Lytechinus pictus: one gene and its partners. The protein of the gene in region 2 purifies or fractionates together with the protein of the main gene of each other region. This does not show direct contact. Links are inferred from orthologs where the notes say so. Each region holds a gene or a part of one and is shown on either strand. Other genes may lie near its edges.

Region 1 (7,703 bases), on a different chromosome or scaffold from region 2:
CTGAAGTCATAGAAGTCTGAATATTCATAAATAGCATCTCCTTCATACAAGATCTTACTGTGGCCTTTGTCTCTCATATGTCTCTGTACTGAATCCAGTGAGTAGAATGACTTTCCTTTTTCATTGCACCAAAGACACATGAAATCGCAGCCAACCTTCACACCTTAAACAATTTGAAGAAGAAATAGGGAAGAAAGATAAATTTATTTTAGATATCAAGTTGTACATATACATATAGTATGTGGCACTTAAAATAAGTGTATTAACACTCTATAAAATGTGGCATATTACTATTCTTATTACTGCTATGAATTGATCATCCAATTGGCTTTTCAACTTATTTGAACAAATTTATTAGGTTGATAATGTTATCAAATCGACATAATCAATTAAATTGTGACATTGACTCATTTAAAAAAAGGCAACTCCATGATTTCATTCAAGAGAACATATTTCCTAATTTGTTTAAGTCTCAAGACAGACACTAATTCTAATTTTTCATGAATTTTTTCATGCAAATTGAATTTAATTTTCTTAAGTAAATTTATACGTTTCTTTCATTGAAATATTTCATTCCATCAAGAAAAAAAAATAAATACAAAAAATGTGCAATATCTATATGCTGCTTCCTTACCCAGATACGATAAAAGACCCTCCATGTCTGCTATAAACTCCACGTTGGGCAGGTAGAAGCTATGAGATACAGTCATATGATGCAGGTTGTCTTCAATTGATGAAGTTGATTGACTGCAGAAGAGACAATCTGTAGGCGGTATCTCTTCACCTTCTACGTCCTCCCATTCCTCCTCATCATCATCGTCCATCACTTCATCAGCAACTTCATCTTTGTTCTCCGTCCTCAACCTAGATGATGATGGTGGTGCAGCATTGTTGTCCATCTTCTTTTTCTTCTCAGCCCCTTCCCTCTTCATCTTCTCTCCTTCATAGGCGTCAACCTTGGCCTGGTCGCGTTTGTTCTTGGCATTCTTGATGGAGACCTGGCTCTGATCGGATGCTGCTTTCATCTTTGCCTCTGCATCTTTATGTTTCTTGGATTGTAGGTGGTTTGTATAGGCGTTCTCCGTGCCAAAGTGCTTCCCGCATACCCCGCATCTAGTAGAGGTGTCACGTTGTGCTTCAGCGGTCTTGGATTGTTGTGCAAGAAGGCGCTGCTTGAAATCAGCAGCAGTGACGGGAGGAAGCTCGGCTACTTTGCGTTTGAGGTTGTAGCGATGCCAGTCCGACTTGTAGTGAGCCCTCTGTAGATCCGTACTGGCGAATGCCACTCGGCACGAGATACAGGTGAATGCCCCTGATGACATTGTTCTTTCCAGCTCAGCTATACTTGAGATATCTGTAGTAAAATATTTAAAAGAAATATTAAAGACATATAGCCAGCTTGCAGGTTCTCCCTGACACAGCCCATTTTAAGGACTTTCAAAATTGGGAGCGAATTGTGCAATGTCAACAGGCTGATCTGTGACAGTGATCACTAGCTCAGCCGCACAATCAAAACATTGCATAGTTTTGATCAGGGGTGGATCCAGAATTTTCCAAGTGGGTGGGAGGGCACATTTTTCTGAGGAAAAAATTTGACTAGCAAAAAAAAGTTTTCAACCAAAAATTAAGTATACATTTCGTCCCAGAAAAAAATTAACAAGCAAAAAAAAAAAAAGGACTTCACTTGCAAAAGGGGGGCACACTTCTGTTTCAACAGCATTTTTACATTTTAATTTGTTTCCCAAGGGGGGGGGGGGGGCACGGGCCAGTTCTGCCCCCCCCCCCCCCCGGATCCGCCAGTGGTTTTGATTGTCTGGCTGGCGATCCTCTCAACGATTGTGGGGGTTTTGTTTTCATAAATATAAGCCAATATGGTGGCGTAATATTTGATTTTTTTCTGATTCTGATTTTTTTTTTGCGATTCCTCTAAAAAAATTGGGTTTGAATTTTGAAACATCACTCACCAGATTTCAATAATTAACTTATCAAAAGTGACATGCAGCATAAATCAATGATAATCTATAATTTAAACACAATAATATTTTTCGGCTCTCCTTTCCACTAACTCTAATACCAGACTGTCCAGACAGACATCTGCCGATACTATTAACCAAGTAAGTCTAATCACTAATGTGATGCCCAGAAAATGGTTATCACTTATCATAATAATTCCAAACATTGTCATGATTGTCCTCGTTTAAAAAATTTTTGGACCACATTATGAGGGACATTCGGCATTATCCTGGTTTAAGTCACCACTCCATTCAAAGATCAAGGAGAGAGCTTATAAAGCCTTTGTGAGACCCGTGCTCGAGTACGCCTCCTCAGTTTGGGATCCTTCTACAAAGAAACACATTGATAAGCTGGAGTCTATACAGAGACGTGCTGCACGCTTTGTCTTGAACAAGTACCATAAAACCTCAAGTGTTAGTGAGATGATCAAGACCCTCGGCTGGCAGACTCTTCAGCAGAGAAGAAAGATCACACGCCTCTCCATGCTCTACAAAATAACCAACAACCTTGCACATTGCCCAATAATTAACTCAAAACTTGTCCCACTACCAACTCGCCTGCGTCGTTCTCACAACAGACAGTTCCAGCTGATCACCTGTAGAACTCAGTACAGAGGATCTTCATTCTTGCCTCGCACTGTGAAGGACTGGAACGGGCTACCAGCTGAGGTAGTGGATGCTGCAACCCTTGACACATTTGTGACAAGGGTCAGCATGTAAACGGCATCACCAGCAATGTCATTTTTTATCTTAAAGAAAAAAAAAAAAGAAAAAAAAAAAAAAATCTATGTTTCAACAGTATGGCAGTGAGTCCAAACTTCGCGCGTGTCCATACTTCGCGGACGGTCATTATCTAAAAAACTAGCCAATATCCTTAAAATCTGACATCATCAACGTGAAAAGCGACCTAAAATTATCCTTTGGTGTAAGTTTCTTTAGGATGAGTTCAGTATTCATGAAAATATTGGCAAAAGATCGGCAAATTTGTCACCGTTAGCGCCCGTTTTGAAGAAATCTTATATTCTCAACAAGCATCACGATATCACCATTTTGCAAGCAGAAATCATCAAAAATGTGAGTTAAATGTGGTACTAACCGATTCTATAGCATTTTGCCATCAAACTGATATAAATATTTCACTTTTTGAGCTTGAGTTTTTGTTTAAATGTCCACAAAAACTTTGGTCCGCGAAGTTAGGTCACACTTTTTCTGAACCTTTTCCACCACAGCGCGCATTCGCCGATCGGAATAGAATTTTGAGATCGCGATACCGGCGAATTCCCTTGACCTACTTCACATTTTCGTCCATGATTTTATAGTTTACGATCTTGCCGTCAATGTGGTAACTATTTCTTGAATTGGTTATGTATAAATTATGAATATTTTGTGAAAAAATTTAAGCCTGATGAATATTTTTGAAAAGTGCGCGAAGTTTGGACACCCCATCATACAGTAGGATATCGCAGACAAGGTCAAGTCAACTTTTTTCAACTTTGCCATAATAATCAACACTTTGATTGTGGGCAACAACGGAAAGACAAGACAAGACATTCACTGCCGTTCATTTCGTCAACGGCGGTGACTTCTTTCATCTCCCATTGCCATTGGCATTGTCATTGACTTTGTCTTTGTAGTTGTACACAACGAGCGCACACACTGACACACAAGACTCAAGAGAGGTGACTTATTTCAGGATAAGGCCGGACATTCACACTTGCCAGACACCTCTGCTCTGCCTGGTCGAATGTTCGCGCCATTTGTGATGGTGATCAAGTTCTGATTCTGGTGGGGAAATTTGCTCGAAGTCGGCCGGTGCAAAACTGCATTAGCGCCCCAGAGCCAGCTGCTGAGCACCGCCCTCGCTAAAGTAAAGGCTTTAAAGCAAAGCCAAAGGCAAGGCGGAGAGCGGGGCGGAACTCTCGACTCGCGCTCGCTGGACCGGCAATGGCAACGCCAAATTTAATTTAAAGATCTTAGAGTTAGAGTCTGGACGTATTTTCTTAACTTTCTAAAACTCACCTCGCTCAAAACTTTCATGAACTAACCACAATAAAGCTGGTAAAATTGGTAAACCTATAACTTGTTAAGTAACGCACACCCGGTCGGTCGGTCTCACCTTGTTTGATTGAGGTTGATTGGTCGTAGTGCAGTACTTAGCTTACAAGACAAGACAATTACCTCAACGAATGTCCGGTAATTTAGCTCATGTGCAATTCGAATAGGCGTATCATAAAAACGTGAGAGTCCTACTATATAATGAATGTGAAAGAATCGCACGCCGTAGTAATACAAATTTGTGTTCTAGAGTAATTGCGCAACACGTCGCAAGAGGTTTATGACAACTCCACAAAGTAAATATCGTCATAAATGATGTCGGTCAGATATTTGGGGGGGTCGACCTGGCACTATACCGGGTGATTCATTTTGATGTTTGGCTGAGGGGCATGCAGCCCAAGTGAAGTTTATCTGTCTTTCACTTTAAAAAAGTCAAGTCTACCCCAGAAAAATGTTGATTTTGAAGTAATAGAAAAAAATCCAATAAGCATAGCGCTGAAAATTTCATCCAAATCGGATATATAATATAATAATTATGAGTTTCACTTACACATGTATTAGTTTTCACAAAATAGTTGCACCAGTTAGTGACATGCAAATGAGACAGTCAATGGTGTCCTTCACTCACTATTTCTTTCGTATTTTATTGTTTGAATCATACAATATTTCAATTTTTACAAATTTGAAAATAATGACCAACTTTAGTGAGCCACAAAATCAAAGGCCGAGTTGTTTGTAAGAGTTTTACCGTTGCCAATTTTTGAAAGATCCGATGATATGAAATTCAAGGTTAATTCATGTTGATATTGAACAAAATCACAAAAATAATATATATATCGAATTACAAAAAATTATTTATCTATTATGTGGATTAATATTAATATAAAAATAACAATGCAATTATAAAAATATCCATACGATGGACCGAGGTGACCTTAATACGGTCTCTTCTGCTGGACTCCGTAATTTGTCTAAAATGGTCAGTGTGTAACTCTACGAAAATCCCTGAAAATCTTCCGATTTTTGCCCTAAATATACGAATCAACAATAATCGGATGTTCTAAATTAGGCTATCACATTTTTCATTCCATTTTCATATCTTTTTTCAACTATTAAATCTGTTATTTTGGTGTAAATTATCCCTGCTCTATTTAAGTTCGCTAGCGCTACCAGTTTGCTGTGTTCATTGACTTTACCGATCTGCCGATGATTGATTGTAGTCAATCATAATTCATATCCCACGTTTTGGCCAAATTAAGCTGGTAGTGGTAGATCTGAAATAACCCAGGCATACCATATTTGATGAAGATCCCCTCGACTTTTGCTTTCCATAGAGTCGAACTTTAAAAGATTATGAATTTACAACTTACAAGTCATGACAAAAATTCGGCCCGGGCCGGACTCGGCGAGCGAAAGTGGTGTCTAACGTTAGTCTTTGCTTTGGGGAACCTTTGCTTTGCCTTTGGTGACTGGTGCGGTGCATGCATGGCAGTGAGTCCAAACTTCGCGCGTGTCCATACTTCGCGGACGGTCATTATCTCAAAAACTAGCCAATATCCTTGAAATCTGACATCATCAACGTGAAAAGCGACCTAAAATTACCCATTACCTAGTAGGCCTAGGCCTAGGCCCTAAAAATTTCTTTAGGATGAGTTCAGTATTCATGAAAATATTGGCAAAAGATCGGCAAATTTGCCACCGCTAGCGCCCGTTTTGAAGAAATCAACAGACAACAAGCATCACGATATATCAGTAGGGAGACCGGACCTAATTTTTATCTTTGGATAGGGTTGGACTTACGTGCTATGACTGTAATCATTTTATAGGGAAAATTTCACTCATACCAACTGCCGAATTTCTTGAAGTTATTCCATTTTACTGCAAAGTTACAAGCGAAGAGAAATTGACATTTTTCCGCCAATAAGAGCTCTAAAACCTCCCAAAATATGGTCATCCACGATACGCGTTCACGTCCAATTCAGGAAATGAAGGCCTCCCTCGTAAGGAGGAGTCTCCGCGAATGTTGCTAATGATGTCAGCGTGCCATGATTTTTACGCTGCACGGTCATGAATATGTATTACTTTGACCCCGACTGTCTTCAAAAGTTTGAGTTACGCACCCGTACGGGTGCGTTTAGGTCAGGTTTAGGTCAAGCCATGTCACGAGCGAATGCAATGCATAGAAAAAGAGAGGGGGAAAGAGACGCGATCGTAACGTCCAGAACCGATGCTTGAGAGGTTATGAGAGAGACAAAAGCTTATGATGAAATGTGTCTGGGATTATTTGTGTGCATCAAAAGTGTGTCCATTCAATGTACCTTCCCACGTGGCTCACGACACGGCGTGGAAATTTCCTTTGTTTATATTTATGTCTGAGAGAGTCTGGCATTTGTCTGTGATTTGCATGTGATGTGGCAGTGCATTATCGAGTGTGTATCTGCTAAGACAGAGAAAGTTTAATCATCACCTCATGAAAAAGGTATTCCCCAAAATTCGAGACGAGATGGGGCGGGGGGGGGGGGGGGGGGCGAGGCAAAGAATGAGAAGAATCAGCATGTAGTTTTCAGCATGGGATTGATTTTTTAATTGTGTGATTCTCTTTTTTATCAATTTTATTGATTCTTCTTGAAAATTGTTTTAAATGCTTTTAATCAGGCGCTGGTGGGAGGGGGGGGGGCAAGTTCCCACCCACTCCATTTTGATTTCTTTTTGCTTGATTGTCAGAAATTTATCCAGTTGTCAACTTGACAGTGGCGGCCAACTTCTTTTTGTCCAAAAAGCGTAACCCCACCCCCCCCCCGTTCTGATAATTGGATTCACCCCTTCAAATAATTAACCCCCTTCTTGATTTTGCACTTTGGTTGTTACCGATTCCAACACAGTCATTATTATATTTGTCGTAGATAGCGAGTTGTAATTGATAAATTTCCTATGATTTGTGAAGGCTTTGATAACTGGGATCCAAAGAACTAATATGATTATAGTTACTCTGTCATGGCAACTACCGTGGGAACGGGGCTCGACCACAATCGTTTCCATGTTCAGAACATGGACCCCTGGGAATGACCCGGCATTTGACCTCCATTCTCAGTCTCCAGATATTTGTAAACAATGATCTTATCTTGGCCGCTGGTTACCATGGTAACGGACATTCCAACGTATGTTCAGTTCATGGACCGAGAGGTCCATGCACAGTTGAATCACGATCAGAGTTGAAACATGGAGAGGGACCTCCATAGTTGAAAAAAAAGACACTCTCGATCTGGAATAAGTGGAATCAGTTCTGGATTATATATAAGAGCATTTCTACTGTAAGCATTAAGATGAAGAAAAATAATGACTGAAATGAGTCCGGGAAATGGGCAAAATATTTGGACTGGGAGACGGCTTTTTTTTTTAATCATCCTTCGAAGTTCGAGGGATATATACGAAGACGGCCAGCAAAATTATTGTTCTATGAATTTAATTCTGCATGTAATTGATTTTTTTTAATGTGTGATTCTCTTTCTTATTCGTGATCCCGTTGATTCTTCTTGAAAATTGTTTTTAAATGCTTTTAATCAGTGCTGGTGGGGGGGGGGGGGGCGACAAGTTTCCATCCACTCCATTTTGATTTCTTTTTGCTTGATTGTCAGA
Region 2 (7,703 bases):
TTCCCCCTTATGAATTCTGATTATTTGAATATAATTTCTAATTGATTATAAAAAATGAATACAATTTTCCCCAGTAGCCTGTTGTTGTTTGATGATTTATTTTCATATTCCCATTAAAAACAGGTTATTACTGTATATTGTAGCCCTATATAAAATGCATGCAATCATATACAAATGAAATACATTTAATTTTAAAGATATTACAGAATACCACTACAATGCCTTTCAATTAAAAAAAGAAACAACATACTGTACATATATGTACCAATTTATCGTTGAAAATGAAAAAAGGAAACTAAAATAGGCCCTGTAAAATAAGTTCCCTTATGTATGCCATACAATGAACTAATGAAGTACCGTAAGGGCACTAGTATTCAACCCGTTTGGAGAGTTTCCTCAAATATATAGAAATACAGAATTTACCTGAATTTCAGACCCGTCTTATTTCCAAGAGCAAATGCTGGTTATTCTTTTTCCGTTATTTTTTTCTTCAACCAGTTGACTGTGTGCGCGGGCGATCGAATTATACGGCGACGGATTTTGGTACTAGTATTCAACCCGTCGGCACTAGTATTCAACCTAGCGATGAAAGATGGCCCTGTCTCTCAATCTGCCCTTGTCCCATCCGACTAAGGACTAGACCATTTGAGATGAGACCAAACAGGGAATTAATCAAAGCCAGAGACTTACATAGATCTAGATCTAATTTAGCAATCTAAACCCTTTTGAGATTTGCTATCAATCCTCACTAGGTTGAATACTAGTACCATTCAGTGCAAAAGGCCATCGCCGCATAATTCGATCCTCCGCGCATACAGTCGACAGATTGACAAAGAAAATATCGACAACAGATTACCCTGGAAATAACAAAGGTATGAAATTAAGATAAATTCCCTATTTCTAAATATTTTGGGGAATATGTCAAAATCTTTGAATTATGCCGGGTTGAATACTAGTACCCATACGGCTATTAGTAACTGAAAAACATTGAAAAAAAAACTATGAAGAGATATCAGTCTGTAACATTTGATGCATTAGATTATTCGCAGGGTGAAATCATTTTGACATTTTTTTTATAAATAAGAAAGAAAAAGACAGTTGCCTAGTATTTTCATCTCGCAAGGAACTGTATTAATATTATTTTTTAGAATATTACTTTCATGTCCATTTTGCATTTGTCGATTTTCATTGATTTGTTTGTCTCACTTTATGCTTGTAATAATTATGAGTAAACTAAAGATCTGTACCATTATCATTTATCACAATTATTTATATTAACAACATAGACACGGCATTGCCATCCAAGGACTTAATTCACATTCACATCATGTCCTTGCTGCGGGCATTGAGCGAGTCGCGAGAAGAGAACGGAAGGCAGGCGTCAAATTGCCCTAATAGACATGTTATGATGTGAAAGCAATGGTTAGGCAATTTCTTGCACCCATTTCATACTATACAATGTACAGTACAGGTGTACGCTAAGATTCTTTTTAAGTAGAATATAAACTCAGTACAATATGGATAAGATGATTTTGCACATGACATCATCTCAAGATGTATACGTTCAAAGTTGGCATTCTGATTCTAAATGTCAAAAGAGTTTTCATTTTGTTCTCAGTGCTGGAAATACACTGTACACGTATGTAGCTCAATTTTTACAAAGTCAGGTTTACAAACAAAGCAAACCACAATGTACATAATTTACATTTTACACTGCGCATCATGATGATCATTGTATGATATGTTTTGGATAATTGCCAGGGAGCGATCAGGATTCCTGTGACAAAGTATTCATGTCTGTATGACTCAATCATTAATTGAATTGCAATGTGTCCCAAATGTTCTGACTATCGTATCATAGCAAGGGAATATTCATGCTGAGAAAAACAATGTTTGAAAAGCAAACATGGATGAACAATATACAAATAGCGAATAGGCATGAGTGCGATGGTGCGAGATTTCGCATGAGGTGAAAGAAAGATGCTCTATTCAACGAGGCGTGAGCCGAGTTGAATAGAGCGTTTCTTTCTTTCACCGAATGCGAAATCTCGCACCATTGCACGAATAAGGATATTCGCTATTTGTGTTGTACAACGCCTCGGAATTTAGCGAAAATATGAAAAAACAAAGAGTTTATCCCTATAGTAATCTATGAAAAGGGAGCAAAAATACCGAAAGCAGAAAGCAAAATTCCACAAGCGCACATTACCGTGGGCAGCCTTGCGCATTTAGCCAGCTGGCTTATACGCGTATTGTTCATTTTTACCGAGCGCAATGAATTAAATCGTATTGTGACGTCACCTCCTAAAGCCGTGCAACGGTACATTTTGGACGGTACATTTTGGATGGTACGTCTTTTGTGCAACGGTACGAATGTTTGACATTCAGCCTCCCATTTGCTCGCGTACAACAAGCTAAGTAGGCGTTGTACAATGAAGGATTATACATGTAATTTGTAAAAGAATTTTAACAAAATTTATGTTAGTCACTTTGTCAGTTTTAATATATTTTGGTGTTGATGAACAATATATAATTGTTATCAGTTTTTTTTTAAATAAATACCATTTTACATATATTATGACAATTTGCTCATCATTCTTATTAATATAAAATATGAATAATGATTTTAGAAAATAATAATCTTATCAAAATGAGATTATTTAACTTTAATTGCAAAAGATTGCCAGCAGAATAAATTGTTCCTTTGCTATCAATATTCTTTCACTGTCTCTTAATTCCAGTTATGAAAAAAAAAAAAGAAATACTTATACTGGTACTGTGAACTCATGTTGAGAAACATCTAAGTTTCATAAATTGTAATAAATTGTGAGAAAATGTTGGCCACGGTGTAAACAAATATATCCCGTAATTGGTTGTGAACATCTGTGTACAAAATGTGTCTGGTGGGGGAAATATGCTGAAGGTGCGCCTGCATGGGGGAAAAAATTGTCCATAAATTTCATATGCACTTTATCAGCACGCAGGGAAGTAAATTGGCAATTAGGTGTTGCTGCAGCTGCCACTCTTGCCTCACTTGAAGGCAGTTTCGGTGGAAATATGTGACCTTGAATTTGAAAGCAGAGTGAAAACAACATTTTGAAGACATGTGCTGCACTTGATTTGATTTGAATTCATTCAGACAAATTTTACATATCTTAGATTGCCAAACAAGGTTTAGAAAAAACCCATACAAGTAGGCATCCCACAATATAAAACAAAATACATAATCAATGACATTAGATAGGAATACAAATAGGCAACATATATCAAGGCATATCATATTATAGATTGAAGTTCCAAATGAAAACTACAGTAGGGAGACAACAATTAATTCTTAAAAATACTAAAATTGCATATAAATGATATTTCAAGTGTCTAATTTCAACAAGTGATTGATTGCTACATGTTACTACCAGAAGAAATATAATAATCTGTACTAGCAAATGGAACATTCATCTTATGTAAGTGTGATAATTTCTTCCTATTCTATTTGCTCTGTGACCTACAGTGTTTACTTCTCCTACATTAATCAAGTTGAGTACAATCTTATAATAAAAAAAAACAAGCCGATGGTATTTACATCTTTTTTTAATAAGTTCATATTAATTTGTTTTAATAACACATAACTTGAAGTCCAGTCTTTGGACATTATCTTTACGTAATGCTTTTGGATGCGTTCAGTCATGTCTTTGTATTTATTCTGTGGGGATCCCATACATGATTCTAAGTTATGTGAACGAATGTTTAAAAAAGACTTTGAAATGGATATTGGGCAATTAACAACATTCCTTCTAATAATTCCCATTATTTTGTTGGATCTTTATATATAATAATGTAAAGCCGTGCATTGGTCATTCCAGTTTTGAGAATCATTTATTATGATGCCTAAATAATTTTCTGATTTTACGTTTGCACATGTATTTATGCGCAAGTATGTTGTCAACTTTCAATGGTTTGGATTGACACTCAGTCAAAATAATGAATTATGGTTTTATTATGGGACTACATGTAGTTCTGTTTTTCATATATTTACATGTACATGTAGGCCTATTTATGTTGATACATGTACATGTACCACAATAATGTTGAGAGAATTTTCAAAACATTTTTAAGGGTAATTTCACCCTGATAAAACTGGAAAAATTTAGAGAAAGATATTGGTGAAGGATTGATGAAAATTAGTGAAAGAAATTGAAACAGACTAAAGATTTTTTTTAATTTGAAATTATGATGTCACAAACGAGCAGCTCTGTATAGCTGTGGATAAATTCCACCAAATTGCATTTTCTCAAAAAAGTCATAATTGATTTCATTTATGCAGTGGATTTATCATCAGACACATGTACACCTGTACCTGTAATGGCATACCCCTGGCTATAAGAAAATAATATTATTCATCATATCTGTTAAATGGAAGTTGTTGCATGAATAATGTACATGTATAGGGAGCTGCTCACATAGGACATAATTTAAAACTTTGAAAATCCATATTAAAACCAACTTATCGCCAGGATGAACTTCCCCTAAACTTAGTTAAATACCACCAATATATTGTCTTCAATATGTACATCAGTACATTGCATGTTAAGGCAGGGGGGGGGGGCTGCTATGTTACTGGAAGATTGTGGATAGAAAATATAAGTGAAGTGCCTTTTGAAAACTACACTGTACAAACTCCTGTTTTTATTCACCAAAAAAAAATTTAACAATAATCCTCTGGTTCTTTACTTACAATATGTTGTACAGTAAAGCCTAACTTTATACATGGCATGAACATTACCAACATCATCTACTGAGTACATGAACATGCACTCTAACAAACTTTTATAACAATCAGAGGAACAGTAGGTACATTATACATGTACATGTAGTAAGCTGTGTATAGAGATGGACATATTTCATTATTGTTTGGGTAAAAGATGTGTGGGTTGAGTCATATACAGTGTAGTTTTCTTTCAGTACTCATATTTACACATCACTGACTGTATTTATCTATTTGTGTGTGTTTGCTCATTCTATATGATACAGATGGTAATAAAAAGCTGCATGTTCCTGGATGAGTAAAACCGTGATGTAAATTATATTAAAATGTTTTTATATGGGCATTGCAAATGTTTGCATGCACATGTATATAATGTATGCGTGCTACATATTCCAAGCATGGTAAAAACAATATTTTATAAAGGCCTATAGTCATAATATTCTACTCATTTGTCACATTTTCATAAGCATTTGATACACTGTAAAAAGAGTGAAAATTCATCTATCAAAACTACCTTCAAAATTGCAGTTATACAGGTAGGACATTGAAAAAAATGATGATGATGATACAAAAGGGCACTTGATACAGCTACATTGTAGGTGTTTCTGTTATAGCGTGCGAACAATATGAACAAGTAACAATATTCCTGTAATGTCATGTGTAAAATATATGTTTTATTTTCTTCTTTTTATTCAGCTGTCCACCTAGAACCTTTCTCCCCGCACTGTGCCGTATATTTCTTGACGAGCATGCTCCGGACAACGTACTGGAAGTCACTGCCCGAGCCATCACCTACTACCTGGATGTCTCAGCGGAGTGCACTCGTAGGATCGTGGCTGTAGATGGCGCTGTTAAGGCCCTTTGCAATCGTCTGGTTGTTGTCGAGCTGTCTTGTCGAACCAGCAAGGATTTAGCTGAACAATGCATTAAGGTAAACGTGCATGTACCTTGAGTAATGGTTTCTTTTATACTAAATTCTTGGTAAATTGCCAATTGGTCTACACCTGTTTTGTCTACTTTCCATTTGGTCTAATCCCACATGGTGTCTACTCCTACATGTAGTTCGTCTACAACTTATTAGTTTACTTACCATTTGATTAATTACCACTTCAAAGCCCATTTAACATTTCTTCTAATGTCCAGTTTAATATACATTACTCATTTCGTATTGGTCTAATACAATATGAACAGATAAACTCTTTCTGAATCAAATTTTCATTTTTTTTTAACAAAGTAAAAACTATAAATGAATAGTGGACATTAGACCAACTGGGCATTAATCTTCTGTAAGATTGAACTAAGTAGACATTAGACCAAGTGCAGTAGACCAAACAGCAATTGGACCAAATTGGTAGTAGACCAAAGGGTTTAGCCTATTTGGTATTAAACTGAACTGAGTACATGTAGTAGACCAAGTTCTTGTAGACCAAGTGAATATAAACCATTTCTTTGTGCCAAACATGCCATCGTGTTATAAAGTCATGGGGGACTTTCATGATGGAAAATTAATCTTGATTGCCAGAGGCATTATGAAGGAGGGGCACCTTGGCAGAGAGCTTTGAAATCTATAATTTACACAAATCCCCTTATCTTTCCGTAAATAGAAATATGTTTTAGTCCAATATCATGAAATATGGAATAAGAAATGTTGTGTCAACATATGGTAAACATTCTTTGATACTGTATGTTACATGTATTTACCAATGGGTATTGCTTTATATGTGGTTGAATGTTTTTTTTTTTATAATGTCTAGAATATGAAATAAGGTTTAATTATTAAAATGAAATAGAAATAAGAAAATAATGTATTATGACATTTGCATTTATCTTATTTTGATTTTTTTCTTCAAATGAACATAATGAACTTCCAGTTGATTATTTATGCATTAAAAAAAATGTTTTAATGTACATGTATATTTTGGAAAATCAACTTTTGATATAAGGGAAGATGAGTGGATTGGCGCTGATTAGAGAGTGGGAGTCATGTGCCCTCTATGTTAGCTTTGGGAAAGAGAACTTCCAAACACCAAGGCCCAATCTGGACTACAATATCCATTAATCCAGTCTTGAATTTAACCTAAAAAATCAAAGTTCATATCAATATGTTTTTCATAATTTTTAATATGTCACCTAGGTCCTTGAACTGATGTGCACAAGGGAGTCAGGAGCCGTGTTTGAGGCTGGTGGTCTCCATTGCGTCTTATCTTTCATCCGAGACAACGGCTCCATGATCCACAAGGATACCCTCCACTCGGCCATGGCAGTGGTCTCCAGGCTCTGTGGCAAGATGGAGCCATCGGACGGCTCCTTGGAGACGTGTGTGGAGTCCCTCTCCACTCTGCTCAAACATGAGGATCCGCATGTAAGTTTCTTATTTGAAATCTACATTCTTTTTTATTTCATTGTGAAATTCCAATGTACACTATTAAATTCCATTCTTGTTAATAGTTATTTCATAAGGAATGTACTTGAAATCCAACTGATAGTTCAAGATTAATGCATTCTGTAAAAAAAATAAAATAAAACAAAGAGGAGTATTTGTCACCTATACATTCACCATGCTTTCACAAAATCTAGATTTTAACAAGCTGTGGAATAATGTTTTGTTCAGGTATGCTCAAAGCCTCATCAACATTTGTTTTCATGTTCATACGTAGTCAGAAAAAGTACACCATTTACATGTATGCTGATACATATGAATTGCATGCTTCAAGTCTCAAAAAGTGGTCATATATTGTGCGTACAAACCCATGACATCATAATGATTTCAGTATTAAAGGTCAAGTCCACCCCTAAAAAATGTTGATTTGAATAAATAGAGAAAAATCAAACTAGCAAAATGCTGAAAATTTCATCAAAATCGGAAGTAAAATAAGAAGGTTATGGCATTTTAAAGTTTTGTTATTTTTCACAAAACAGTGATATGCACAATTCAGTGTCA
Region 3 (7,703 bases), on a different chromosome or scaffold from region 2:
ATACTAACTACGCTAGAGTGCGGAGTCGCCATAGGCGCGCGTACTTAACGTCTGTGATTGTGTGGAGCGTGGCGGCCATTGCTCGATAGGTATAGATTCGCAAAAGTACCCGGATGTACCCATAGCTCGTGCGTTGTAACGCTGTGAAAAGGGGTGCCGTCTCCGGCCTTTTTCTTGAAGAAAAGAACACAACCTCATAAAAATCGAAAATATGAATGACAAATTGCATCTCAATACACTATTAGAGTGATTACATGGGGATTATGCTATTAATTTGGCATTTTAAAAACCTGATTTCTCGGGATGAAATTCTAAATAATTTGCATTTACCTGTCCGTTTATAGGCCTGTAATAGATAACAATGTTGATATACTATCAAATAAACAATCATATAAAAATAAAAACATACAGCGGACATTAATAGAAAGATTGACAATTAATTCAAAAGACTGCAGTGAATTAGCCCTTCTCTGGATTTCCCTACCTTTAACTGCATCGTCCTCCTTCCATCCTTCCCACATTTACGTCCTTTGATTCTATGTTTATGTTGGATATAATTTTGTAATTTCTATATAGGCCTACATGATATGTAACTTGCTTTAATTTGTATGAAATATAGGCCTATCATTTTTATATATTAAGTTGTACAATAATTCTGTATAAGTTAGTGTTTTGATCTACATGCGCTATTAAAGGGCATCTCATTATTGTTCTTGGTGAGCCTCCCGTTACACCATCAATGTTGAAATTTGTGTTATTTGGTGAACGTGCTGATTTTGTTCTTATAGGAACATAATAAATTCCCCAAAATCTGCAGGCCTATATGGCCCGAAAATAAAATATTGATTTAAAATGTCGAGAATATAGCCTAATTTGTTCAAACTTTTCACAAATGACAGTTTTAATTCCCTTCACTTTAAGTTAGATTTGTTTTAATTCGCTTTTTAGGGGCCGTGTGTGCAATTAAAATAACAAACACACCTAAGCAAATTCGCTTTAACATACTGATCAAAATAAAATACAGGGGGCGCGACCGGACCCCTCCCTGAAATGAAAATGAACATTACACATAATAAATGATTGTGATTTTATGCACCCCATCACTTTCAAAATCATTCCGCGACGCCGTAATTAACATAATATAATAATTTTGTTCATCCATGGAAATCTTATTTAAAAAAAACTGATCGAATAACCAAACTCAGGTCCATAGGCCAGCAAATGACATTAAAGGAAGAAAACTAGAAAATCAAATTCAGTTATACTTTTAAAATGAAAAACAAAACTGGATATTCAAAACGCGTGTTTATCTGTTTATATGTTAGGCCGGTGCCAGTGCTTACAAATATTTGCCATAAAGTTCATTTATTCAAGCGACACAGACACAGTTAATTAGCACAATTTCAAGGCAGGTATCAAATTTGAGATTAAATTTGGATTTTTAATATCTTATTCCAAGTATTGTCACTTTTGCAATATTATTGTTTCATAATTATGTTTGGTTTTAGTACTCACAATTTTGCAACCGTTTTCATAATTATGATAAGTTTGCATTGATGTCTTTCATGATATTAGTTTTATACACTCTTGCAGTAGTAATAATATTCTTTATAGTATAATAAAAATTATATATCATAATCCCGCCCCTTTCCTTCTCTCCTTCTCCCCCTTCTTCCTCTCCTTATTATTCTATCCTTGATTTGTTCACATGATATTGGTCCAATCATTATAGGATCAGAAACAACGGCGATAAACAAAATATTTCAGCCAGTTTGCCGATCAGCATATTTTCAGCCGGGGAGAATCAAGTCTATACTTTCCAGAAAATCAAAGTAAAATTGTTTTGCGCATTGTGATTTGTTTACTCTCCGAAGTTTTAAAATGTTTGCAAGGCAATAACACTGTACATAAACATCCAACCCCCCATTAGGCCTCCTGTACATTGCAAAATTGTACGACTGCATGCGCGCATTTTGCTGTCAACAAACTTTTCTATACATTGATCGCAAGTAAGAAAGTATACTTTTATATACATATTTATAAATATGATGGGATGGTTGCCAGCAAAGGAAATCTAAATCATCAATTTTTAACTGAATCAATGCGTAAATCATTTCCAAATATCAATAAAAAGTCATTTTATGATTCGCGAGTTTTTGTGATGTTGGTTTACATCAGCGTGTAAGACATGGGGAAAAGGGATCGAGTTATTATAGGCCCTATTGTGTAGATATATATGGAAAATAAATTATAACAATTATCTAAAGTGAAGAAATAAATTATCAGCAATCAGCATAATAGTAATTAGGAAACTATGAACTATAAAAATACAATCGTGTTTTTTTTTTCGATACAGCGTCTCAGATGCATCACTGTGATATGGCCTATGAATTTTCTTAGGTTAATGTACATCAAATCATATTAAAACACATTAAATTTATTTATCAGGACCTAGGCCTAAATGTTATTTTTGATATTCATCTCTTCCAAATCATTAGAAAATAGAAGTCATATTAATGTATCAAAATTTTACCTAAGCAAAAACAATTGGGACTTTAAATCGTTTGCCTGTATTATAGCTGTATCGGCCTATATTATGCGCTATAGATAGGCCTATATAGGCCTTTTGACCTCAGTTTTGCTAGATTTTTGTTGTATTTGAACTTTAATCCAGTGCAATATTTACAATTTTGCTTTTCCATATGCTTTCGTGCTCATATGTCATCAATTTGTCATGTTCTGTGCTCATCCGTGTACATGCCCCATAGGTACTGTACGCGCATGGATATGGCAGGCTGCGAATACCTATCGAGCAATGGCGGACGGTCTCCACGTAATCACAGCGATTTGACGAAGTACGCCCTCTAGCGTTACTAGTATACATCTCTATGTTCCTCACTAATTGAACAGAAGAATATCAAGAGAAAACGGCTGTACGAAAGACTATCAAACATAAGCTGAAAGTGACGTGGCTGCATCTTCGTGGAATTGTCAGGAGAAAAGGAAGAAAATTACATTACTTTTTTGATGATTTGACAGCAGTATCATGCTTACAAAATTTGAGACGAAATCTGCAAGGGTGAAAGGTATGCAAGAAAATTAATAATCACATATTTGACTTTGCAATTTTGGGTGGAATTCGGTGTTGTGACAGCACCGCCAATGTCCGCAACTGATTCTTTGCAATGTCGGGTTTGGGACTGCCGATGTGCCGTGCCATGGCCCATTACCCCGGCCGCGCTTCCCCCGCTTGCTGCCGTCGTGTTTCGTACCGGGAGAGCTGAAATCCAGACATTAAATTGTGTGCCGTGGTTTCACCTTCATTATTTTGCAAAGTTGGGAAGATAAAGATAATACGAAAATTGTATTTCCTTAATAATAGTTGAAATACCGTATACTATATGATTTTTGAGAATTTCTCAATCTTCTTTTTTTCCCTTTCATTCAGTGACAGAAGTTCAGTCAAACGCAAACTCAAATTTTTATTTCAATTTTTAGAAAAAATACAATGTCATGATTTGGTTTTTCAATGTTACTGTATTCGTAGTAAGACTTATAACCCTTAAAATAATAATAATAATTTTATTGTTAAGCATTTCACCTTTTATCCGTTTTCTTACTTTGTTCGTATAAAAGTCAAATTTTATTAGATTGATTCACACAATCAGAGATTTGATAAATTGATGTGAAGCCTGGCCCTGGGTCACATGTTTTAGATGGTGATGTACATAGGTTAGTCCCAGATTAGATTTTCTTCAGTTTGTCATTGTGTTTGAACTCTGTCATTTTCACATACAGTGTCGTCCTTGTGAGGGTCCCATCCCCATCTCTCTGCCTTCTCCCATTAATCCTCGGTTCTTTTTTCCTTTATTACCTTATTAGTATTACTGGATGTACTGGAAAAATGCAGAAAGCTGCAGCCAAGTTTCCAGGTCTAGCTTTCGTCCAAGTTTAATCTTCTTCCACAAGTAATATGTGTGACTGTGAGTGTCCAGTGTACATGGTGCGTTTGCAATCATTTCTGTCAAATCAAATCAAATCATTCCCAAGGGTGACTGTACCATTCTTTATTCCAGAACTTATCAAGCCTGGAATTTACAGATGGAGTAGAGACAACCTCATTTGGTAGCGAGTTCCAGTCACGCACTATTCTGGCTCCGAAGGCATTTGCTCTTACATCCAGTCTATTTCTTTTCTTGAAGAGTTTATATGGGTGACCTCGGGTTGCCTCAACATTAATTGACGAGAAGAACATATCCTTTGTCAAGCCAGTCGATTCCATGCACTATTTTATAAGTCTGGATCATGTCACCTCTTCTCATTCTGTATTGCAGGGATGGTAGATTTAGGGCTCGAAGTCTGTCTCCATAGTCTAGCATTGCCAAGGATGGTATGAGTTTTGTTGCTCTTCTTTGTACTTTCTCAATCTCTTTCTTTCTTCCTCCAGGCTTGTGCTTTCACCCCAACCGACCATGGATCCTTGCCAGCTTGCACAATGGAAACATCCAGCTGTGGGACTACCGTATGTGCACTCTCTTGGAGAAGTTTGATGAACACGATGGTAAGTGTCATTTGCAGGGGTGAAGGTCAAGTCCAACCAAGAAAAGAATAACATGTACGTCATCCCGTTGACTACTAAATTCTGAGATTTCCGTAGTCTTTGTACATGTATCATCTGGGTCCCGTAACACAAAGGTTAGCGATTAATCGTACGATTGATTTTCACGATTGATTGTACATTGTAGTCAATGGAATCAATCGTAGAAAAATGTTCTACGATCATTGCTAAGTTTGTGTTATACTTATAGGCCCCAGGTTCCAGTAGGCAATGGGTTAATAAAAGAGAAGCCTCTCAGGGTCTCAGAAATCCTCATTTTCTTGGGAAAGTAGTTTCCAGACAGGGATGTACATGTACATGTAGTTCAGGCTGGTTTTTTTTTACAGTTATAACTTCCCATAGATGTTGTACATGTGACTTGGACCAAGGCCAAGTCCAGCAAAATGTTGCCTTGACTCAATACCTGTTTCCAAATATACAGGACCTACATGTATATGGACAAATTATGAATATTTTCTTGGATTGTGTAATCAGATGTCTAGAATAAACAAAATCACAGAGAAAAATGTGAGCCATTGTGAGCTCCCCAGTTTTTTAAAAAGAAGTCTAGGGGTGTGTTTATGCTTCCATTGCGGGTACAGAATCAACGTTTTCAAATGTCGTTTCAGATCGCCGATCACAAACTTAGTACTCGGAGTGCTGCTTATGCTTAATTTTTCAGAGGCAAAATTGCAATATACAGCCCTAAATCAACAGACATTCCAGAAAATGTTCTTTCAGAATTAAAAAAATTTTTACTTTTCTTTCAGGTCCTGTTAGAGGGATCAGTTTCCACCAACAGCAGCCCCTGTTTGTTTCTGGAGGCGATGACTACAAGATCAAGGTCTGGAACTATAAACTCAAAAGATGTCTCTTCACTCTCCTTGGACATCTGGATTACATCAGGACAACCTTCTTCCATCATGTAAGGAGATTAGTTCCAATATTATATAATAATAATAATAATAATAATAATAATGATAATAATAATAATAATAATGATAATGATAATGATAATGATAAATATGATAATAATAATAATAATAATAGTTATTTATATAGAGCCATCTATCTAGAAATATTCTATTCCAAGGCGTGTTATTATTATTATTACCCCGGTTTTAGCTCGAGCTGCCTTTCAGCTATGATCTTGTATTTCATATTACATGCATGACCAATTTTCCTTATGACATGTATGAGGGGTCTTGTGGGAGGGGTCTTGTGGGTCAATCAACTTACTTATCCCTATCAAGGCCTATAGCAAGCACCTTGAGATAGAATTGAATTATGTAGAAAAAAAATATTTAAATGAACAATGATGAATCCCATGCACAGGGAAGATTAATATTGTGTCTTCAAACATCTGTGCATTATTTTGCATCCAATGATCAAATCAGGTCAGATCAAATTGATCCCCTTCCCTCCATTACAACTTGTTCTGAAACATGGTATTTACTCATAAGGTCATATCTACCCCTCATGCTCTCTATTAAATATAATTTTACCACAACAATTTCATGATTTCTGTTTTTGGTGCTCTTTTTTTTTTTTTAAGGAATATCCTTGGATCTTGAGTGCATCTGATGACCAGACTATTAGGATTTGGAATTGGCAGTCAAGGAACTGTGTCTGGTGAGTTAACCGATTGACGACTGAATTCTTTAATTGCCATAGGCTTTGTACAGAGACCACCTCGTTCTAGTGTGCAATGGGTTAATCTGTTGACTACAGTGTACTTGAGTTATGTAATCCCTATAGGCTTTGCACAAGGAAAACCTGGTTCCAGTACGTAATGGCTTAACATATAATAACGAAACATGCTACTTCTGAAAGATTTATGTGTAGTAAATGGTGATAAATGGAGGCCCCGTGTAGAGGTGAATCACCACCTTTGCACGTTAAGAATTCAGTGCACTATTCGAATAAGAATAGGGGGAAACCCCGGTGTAGTGGTCCACCTGCATCCCCCAACCAGTTATCGGGAGGAGAGACCTGCGGGTCACAGTTCTGTGTGCGCGCCTTCTTGGCGACCCAGATTGGCTGGCTCCTCCAATGCGCCTTTGAATGTCTTTGACATACAGTATATATATATGGCGCTATACAAATGCTGTGCATCATCATCATCATCATCATCGTGATAAAATGGCAACATTGGCATGCTTGGTGTTGAAGATCAGCCATGGGGATTAATTCTTCCTCAACTTGCTCTTTTCTCTCTGATCATTAGAAACATGCATTAAAGGTGACCATGCATTTGTATAGCATTTTCCTGGATATAAAATTAAATGTATGAAAATTTATGCTATTTGTAATTTGTGGTGTTGTGGTTTATACTCTTTCTTGGTAATATCAACATAGTTTGACTATAAAACTGTTTATGAACCAAATTTCATTTGACAAAGTGGAAAGTGATTGATTTGAGAGATTATACCATCTGGGCATTTTTCTACTAGATAGCAAATGAATTGAGTATTTAGACTAAGTGATGTTGCACCAAATGGTAATTAGACAAAATTGTTAAGTAGGCCAAATAGGTCTGGCCATCTGAGAACTAGACCATCTGTTTGTATAACAGAGTGAATACACATGTCAATACTCACTCTAAAGATCGACAAGCTAAAACTGCGTATTGTGGAATTCCACTCATGGCATCGCTGGTTATAAATTTACTGTATTCTCCTTGTCATTTTCATTTCAGTGTTCTTACTGGGCACAACCATTACGTCATGTGTGCAAACTTTCATCCTTCTGAAGACCTTGTTGTCTCTGCTTCTCTTGATCAGACTGTCCGAGTCTGGGACATCCAAGGTAGGTTCTTTTAAAACTTTCCTAGAGAAAAACTTGAGACCACAGTGTCTGAGTCATGGAATTAAATGTTTGCCTTGAAAGTATTACGAATTGTAAATTACTGATAATGGCATTTGAACTACAGACCTATTTTTTACAGCAATGGGGAAAATGTGTGACATACATGTTTTGTGGGTGATGGTTCCCTTGAATGTTTTTTACAGATAAATGGCCAATACAAATGCTTCTAATCATCATCATAGAGATATCCTCCTCATTTTCTGGGTACTTATGGTCTCTGCTTGTAAAATGTCCAAAA

What was found.
Region 1: the proteins of E3 ubiquitin-protein ligase HECTD1-like (region 2) and cytoplasmic 60S subunit biogenesis factor ZNF622-like purify together in Homo sapiens (affinity purification with mass spectrometry; 4 studies listed by BioGRID, with this or other methods). This does not show direct contact. The link is inferred for Lytechinus pictus from reciprocal best matches to the Homo sapiens genes HECTD1 and ZNF622.
Region 3: the proteins of E3 ubiquitin-protein ligase HECTD1-like (region 2) and coatomer subunit alpha-like purify together in Homo sapiens (affinity purification with mass spectrometry, with the first as the bait; 3 studies listed by BioGRID). This does not show direct contact. The link is inferred for Lytechinus pictus from reciprocal best matches to the Homo sapiens genes HECTD1 and COPA.

Annotation. Positions count from the first base shown.
Region 1 is NC_087257.1:20,022,539-20,030,241, forward strand, and holds the start of cytoplasmic 60S subunit biogenesis factor ZNF622-like, read right to left. Parts: upstream 4,835-7,703; 5' UTR 4,622-4,834; coding exon 4,618-4,621; intron 4,553-4,617; exon of another isoform or gene 4,032-4,552; intron 1,355-4,031; coding exon 635-1,354; intron 164-634; coding exon 1-163. Other genes in the region: large ribosomal subunit protein eL43-like, read left to right, coding at 4,987-5,046. UniProt on the Homo sapiens protein: Pre-60S-associated cytoplasmic factor involved in the cytoplasmic maturation of the 60S subunit.
Region 2 is NC_087251.1:34,597,894-34,605,596, reverse strand, and holds the start of E3 ubiquitin-protein ligase HECTD1-like, read left to right. Parts: upstream 1-3,359; 5' UTR 3,360-5,693; intron 5,694-6,896; 5' UTR 6,897-6,908; coding exon 6,909-7,124; intron 7,125-7,703. UniProt on the Homo sapiens protein: E3 ubiquitin-protein ligase which accepts ubiquitin from an E2 ubiquitin-conjugating enzyme in the form of a thioester and then directly transfers the ubiquitin to targeted substrates.
Region 3 is NC_087252.1:3,707,933-3,715,635, reverse strand, and holds the start of coatomer subunit alpha-like, read left to right. Parts: upstream 1-2,916; 5' UTR 2,917-3,046; coding exon 3,047-3,086; intron 3,087-4,447; coding exon 4,448-4,561; intron 4,562-5,367; coding exon 5,368-5,522; intron 5,523-6,152; coding exon 6,153-6,229; intron 6,230-7,295; coding exon 7,296-7,405; intron 7,406-7,703. UniProt on the Homo sapiens protein: The coatomer is a cytosolic protein complex that binds to dilysine motifs and reversibly associates with Golgi non-clathrin-coated vesicles, which further mediate biosynthetic protein transport from the ER, via the Golgi up to the trans Golgi network.